Linked DNA regions of Macaca mulatta. The protein of the gene in region 1 purifies or fractionates together with the protein of each later gene. This does not show direct contact. Links are inferred from orthologs where the notes say so. Each region holds a gene or a part of one and is shown in the gene's direction. Other genes may lie near its edges.

Evidence for each region.
Region 2: the proteins of GTSE1 (region 1) and ACAD11 purify together in Homo sapiens (co-immunoprecipitation; 3 studies listed by BioGRID and IntAct, counting the BioPlex papers as one, with this or other methods). This does not show direct contact. The link is inferred for Macaca mulatta from reciprocal best matches to the Homo sapiens genes GTSE1 and ACAD11.

The regions. Positions count from the first base shown.
Region 1 is NC_133415.1:5,151,089-5,154,912, reverse strand, and holds part of GTSE1 (G2 and S phase-expressed protein 1), read left to right. Parts: intron 1-295; exon of another isoform or gene 296-601; intron 602-2,693; coding exon 2,694-2,912; intron 2,913-3,824. UniProt on the Homo sapiens protein: May be involved in p53-induced cell cycle arrest in G2/M phase by interfering with microtubule rearrangements that are required to enter mitosis. Overexpression delays G2/M phase progression.
Region 2 is NC_133407.1:35,655,822-35,658,318, reverse strand, and holds the end of ACAD11 (acyl-CoA dehydrogenase family member 11), read left to right. Parts: intron 1-723; coding exon 724-838; 3' UTR 839-1,696; downstream 1,697-2,497. UniProt on the Homo sapiens protein: Acyl-CoA dehydrogenase, that exhibits maximal activity towards saturated C22-CoA.

The DNA.
Region 1 (3,824 bases):
TCTTTTAATGACTCCGGGCTTTAGTTTCCTCCTGTGTGAGCTCAGGACACGCTTTGCAAGGTCGAACCAGCCAGTCCCTCACGTGGTGCATGTGGTACAGTGCTAAGCTGCTGTCCCTCCCACGCATGGTGGTGAAGAGCAAAGACCAGACCCAGGCAGCCACTGGTCACCTCACTTGCCTCTCTGTGCCTCAGTTTCCTCAACTCACCCAGGATTACTTTGAGGATTACATTCATCAGAATTTTTTCTTGTTTTTTTTTTAATCCAAAATGTGTTTACTGAGATGGTTTCCCACTCATCTTGATTCAGAGTGCTTTTAGTGCCGCTTCCTCCTAAAGGAACATCCTTCTGTAAGCCTTGCTTTTCCTCCTGTAGGCTGGCAGAGGACAGTGGAGCAGCCAACACACAAAACTACCGTTTGTGCATGGCTAAAGATCGTGGTGATTTTATAGCATCCTGGGCATTTCACATCCATGAAGTAGGAATTGGGGCTCTGCACCAGGCGTTTCTTCTTTGTTTCCTCTTCTCTTCTGGGAAGGGATGAAGGAGATCCTTTGCGAGAGGCATGTTCTCGTATGGGTAGGTCGTCACTGCCAGAAAGGAGCCAATTTTTCTTTTCTTTTTTTTTTTTTTTTTTTTTTTGAGACAGAGTCTCGCTCTGTCGTCCAGGCTGGAATGCAGTGGCCGGATCTCAGCTCACTGCAAGCTCCGCCTCCCGGGTTCATACCATTCTCCTGCCTCAGCCTTCCGAGTAGCTGGGACTACAGGTGCACACCACCACGCACGGCTAATTTTTTGTATTTTTAGTAAAGACGGGGTTTCACCGTGTTAGCCAGGATGGTCTCCATCTCCTGGCCTCATGATCCACCCGCCTTGGCCTCCCAAAGTGCTGGATTACAGGCGTGAGCCACCGTGCCCGGCTGAAATTTTTATTTTCACTGGAATTTGTGGTGGGGCTTCCAGAACTTAGCAATAAAGGGAGGAGGGTGGGGAATCCCAGAACGTGGCAGAGAGCAGCGGCTGGGGGTGACAGCAGTTGCTCTCTGGAGTGATTCTGTTTTTCTCTTGATTTCAGCCTCTTTGCTTTTTTTCCATTTAAATAAGCTAGAGTCAGTCTGTTTTCAGGCTCCTTTTGAAGTATGTTAACAATTGCCCAGAATAGAGCAACAGACAGGTCTCCCTGGTCTCCTGTGGGGGCCACGTGGTGGGATGTCCTTGACTCATTTTATTTTAAAATAATGTCTTTGTCCTTTTTGGGTTACTATAACAAACGTTCTGTCGGCTGTGTAGCTTGAACAACAAACATTTGTTTCTCACAGTTCTGGAGGCTAGAAATCCAAGATCAAGGTACCTGCAGATTTGGTGTCGGGTGAGGGCCTGTTTCCTGATTGACAGATGCCTCCTTCTCTCTGTCCTCACTGGAGTAGGGGTGAACAAGTCTCTTTTATGTTTATTTATTTATTTGTTTATTTTGGATGGAGTCTAGCTCTGTCACCTGGGCTGGAGTGCAGTGGCACGATCTCAGCTCACTGCAACCTCCACCTTCTAGGTTCAAGCGATTCTCCTGCCTCAGCTTCCCGAGTAGCTGGGACCACAGGCACATGCCACCACACTTGGCTAATTTTTTGTATTTTTAGTAGAGACAGGGTTTCACCATGTTAGCCAGGATGGTCTTGATCTCCTGACCTCGTGATCCACCTGCCTCGGCCTCTCAAAGTGCTGGGATTACAGGCATGAGCCACTGCTCCTGGCCTATGTTTGTTTATTTTTCTGAGACAGGGTCTTGCTCTGTTGCCCAGGCTGGAGTGCAGTAGTGCAATCATGGCTCACTATAGCCTCCACCTCCTGGGTTCAAATGATCCTCACACCCCAGCCTCCTGAGTAGCTTGGACCACAGGTATGCACAAGTGTGCCCTCTTTTCTAAGGGCACAGATCTCATTCCTGAGGGCTCTGGCTCCATGACCTGATCTCCTCCTAAAGGCCCCACCTTCTAATGCCATTACCTTAGGGGCTAGGATTTCAGCACATGAATCTGGGGACACAGACATTCAGTCCACAGCAAATGACAGTTGACTCAGCCTCCTCTTCATCAACAGCAACATAAGAAAGCAACAGTTAGGCAAGACCCATGGGTAGCCCGAGCCACAGGTATTGCCAGGGATGTGAGGGGTGTGAGGACCAAGTGCCCAGCTCCCTCTTCACTCATTTGTGTTCACATTTGATTCAGGCAACCTTAAGCCTGGGAATGAGTGGGCGTGCAGCGAGACCTGCTCCCCCATTCGCTGGCCCACCAGACAGGCTGCGGCTCTGACTTCCTTATGGCAATATCTATGACACCGCCAAAAGATGATTTGCTCAGTCTCTTCAGAACTTCCTGTGAAGTGACATTCAATGGTAGCATCCGTAAAGTGCAGTCACATTTGATCAATTTTCTTTGAGTCGCCTGTGAGGAAGGGCAGTGAAGGCATTCCCACTGGGAGCCCGAAGCCCACACCAGGGCGGGTTGGTAGCAGCTCGGAGCCCTGCCCGCCTTGGGGCGTGTCCCGGGAGAGCAGAGCTCACACAGGCTCGAGGGCTCGGCTCTTCTCGGCTGGGACCGAAGCACTCGGCGCTGCATTGGCACAGGCTGAATGATTAGGTTTCACTTTTTTTATGTCATCTCAGCTGACGACATTGATGTTGTGTTTGCCAGGGTCCCCGTCCACAGCACCCCAGTTAGACGCTCATCTGGGCCAGCACCACAAAGCCTGTTGAGCGCACGGCGTGCGTCAGCCTTGCCCACACCCGCCAGGCGGCGCTTATCTGGCCTTCCACCGATGACCCCCAAAATGATGCCCAGGGCCGTGGCCTCTCCCCTGTGTGTGCCGGCCCAGAGACTTTCCTCTGAGCCCCGCAAGAACTCTGCGATGAGGTAAGAGATGAAGGTGATAATAAGTTGGTCTCAAATTCCTAGGCTTGGTGTCCTAGACATTGACATACCTTTTTCTTGCCTTGCTCCAGGGTTTAGTGAAGTAAATAATATTTGGAAAGTTTTGTTTTCTTTTTTTTTAATTGCAAAGAGAAAATGCAATAGACATGAGCATAGAGGAAAATTAAAGGTATTACAAGGAAATACTGCCTGTAATTATCTGATAATCAATCTGAAAACCTAATGCTTTTCTAAAATTTGCAAATTATTGGCTGAGTGTGGTGAGTCACGCCTATAATCCCAGCACTTTGGGAGGCTGAAGCAGGCAAATTGCCCGAGCTCAGGAGTTTGAGATCAACCTGGGTAACATGGCAAAACCCCATCGCTACAAAAAATACAAAATTAGCCAGGTGTGGTGGCATGCACTGTAGTCCCAGCTGTTTAGGGGGCTGAGGTGGGAGGATCACTTGAGCCCAGGAGGTTGAGGCTGCAGTGAGCTGAGATTGCCCCGTTGCACTCCAGCCTGGGGGACAGAGTGAGACCCCATCTCTAAAAAATTAATAAAGTAAAATAAAATAAAATAGAATAAAATAAAATAAAATTTATCTAAATTGACCCAAGGACACATGAAGTAAGCCATAGCTGCAGCTCAGAAATAATTAAAGACTGAGAAAGGCACCTGACTCTGATGAAGTCACACCTCAGTCGTGTATAACTTTTGAAACAGATCATGCTGGTGTGTAAAGTTAAATATCTCAGCCGGGCACGGTGGCTCACGCCTGTAATCCCAGCACTTTGGGAGGCCAAGGCGGGCGGATCACGAGGTTAGGAGATGGAGACCATCCTGGCTAATACGGTGAAACCCCGTCTTTACTAAAAATACAAAAAATTAGCCGGGTGTGGTGGCGGGCGCTT
Region 2 (2,497 bases), on another chromosome or scaffold:
ATCTACATTTGATAGGCATGGAGGTAAAAAATCTATAGATGCCTTGACAAGAATTGCTTACATTTAGTTTCAGTGTAATTGAAGGCTAAATGAAGTGATATACATACTTTAATATAGAGCTGAACACCAAGAAATAGTTGCTCTTATTATTACAATAATCGTTTCATTCAATTATGTTAATTTTTACACTGAGGTGACCCACCGAGAATTCCTGGGCCATAGACACAGCATGGGGTTTCGCTGAATTTATAGCGGTACATGTCAGTGACTATCTAATATCTAGATCCTGATTACTGGGAGGTAGGAGCATTCTCCATTCCCCATCTGTCTATCTCCACACATAATTACAGCGTCTCCTTCTCTGTCATGCTGGACATAGAGTCTCATCCTTCATCTATTTTTACCCTTAAGAAAGAACTAAATATATAGTATCATACCATTCACTGCCTGTTCTAAGTTCTAGCAACATCTAGTAAACTATAGGAAACCAGGAATGAGATTAACTCCACTGTACTTTGCCATTTAACTCTCCGAAGTTGGGAACTTTAAGATGGCATTGCAGAAGCCCTTTAGCTTATTTTCCTGGTACTCTTTTTCTTACCGTGACCTTGGTGGGATTTAAGAACTAATATAGTCTTGTTTTACAATCAGAGTGACTGACGTCAAAGTATCATGTTCCTCTTCCATAACTCCCTGTGATCCCTGGTTCTTTTGCTTTTTCAGGTATGCTGTAACCCGAAGTTTGCGTTTAGCAGATGGACCTGACGAAGTTCACCTTTCAGCAATTGCAACAATGGAGCTGCAGGACCAAGCCAAAAAGCTGACAGCCAAGATGTAAGGAGAGTGGCACTGCCACATCCCACCGGCAGAAACTCTCCTTCATACAAACTTCACTGGCTCCAACATTTGAATCTCATATTTTTGCAGCAGTTTGAGCACAGGGTTAATTATTCACTTGTGGTAAAGATTATAGCATCTATTTTGATCAGTGGGTTTTATAATTTCAAGGGTCACACAGGGTTGAGTTCAATAAGAAATGCTGTAGCTGTTGTCATTCAATCTAGTGCCTTCTTGAGGCCAGGAGTTTGGGAGCAGCCTGGGCAACACAGTGAGACCCCCATCTCTACAAAAAAATTTTTAAATGAGCCAAGTGTGGTGGCACATGCTTGTAGTCCTAGCTACTTGGGAGGCTGAGGCAGGAAGATTGCTTGAGTCTAGCAGTTTGAGGTTACAGGAGCTGTGATCATGACATGGCCTCCAGCTTGGGTGACCGAGTGAGACTCTTTCTAAAAATAAAAACAAATAAAAAATAAATTTCTTCTTGGGGTGGGGTGGAGGTGGGGAGCAAGAATTTGGCCTGGGCTCTGATCCCTTGTGTGTTGTGGGCCTCTTTAACATTGCCACTTTGCCTTAACCTCACTGTACCTCACTTTACTTTGCATGCATTGGTGTTAATATTTTAATCTTAGAAGACGCTGACCCACTGAGGGTTTGTTGTGAGAGTCCCTGAAGCCATGTAGAAGCACCTTGAAATCTGTGAAACCACAATAAAGTACTTTATAAAAGGTATCCTTATTTGAAGTGGACAGATCTTACAACTCGAACTATTTAGCCTTATGATTAATTTTAAAAGTTGTGATTTAGAAGGCAGGATTGTTTTTGAACATTAGGAATTAAAGGCTATATCTGATCCTTACAGTTTTGTAATGTGTTTCTCTGTCTGAGGAAAGCGGGCTGGATTGGTTGCTGATTTGTTTTAGTTAATCTATTGTCATGTATCTGGCCCTCCCTAAGGCAAGTCACTCCATGTGATCTGTACTTACCTCTCTCCCTTCCCTGAATTTAGTCAGATAAAATTATGTTAAAAAGAACACCAAGGATTGTTTTGAAAAGGAAAAAAGTCTCCAAAGGATAAAGTGAAAAGATCAATATCAGGATCAGGGCCCCAGTCCTGGTGGGAGAATGGACTAAAGGTAAACTCCTCAGCATTGTGACCATTTCTAGGGCTATGTCTGTCACTGGGAGTCACTAGGCAGCCATTCATCTGGGACAGTCTGCCAGGTTTGCCATGTGTTTGAAACCACATGGTTTTAAAGCAAGAAACTGCCCTTTCTAATAATGAGATGGCAGGGAGGGAGCAGGGATGAGAGAGCTCACCAGTCAGGGCTCTACCATGAAGACCCCTCCAAGATTGCCAAGTGGTCTGCGACAGAGCCTCGACGAGGGGCCTTGAGACTGCCGGACAGGGAAGACACCATGAGGCGCCACACGAAGAGGTCATGGTCTTTCTCCAGCAAACATTTAGGATGCTCGGGGGTAGCTGTGATTATCCGGAGGAGGGGCTAGTTAAAGGTCTCTGGTAATTGACCTTGTTACTTTAAGAACACGCAACAGAAAGTTCAGCGGATTACGGAGGACTGATTTCCTCATCAGCCTGTGGTTATTGGTAAGAGCTTCTTCAGGGTGGGTCCTCATCACCCCAGCTGTTTCCATACAA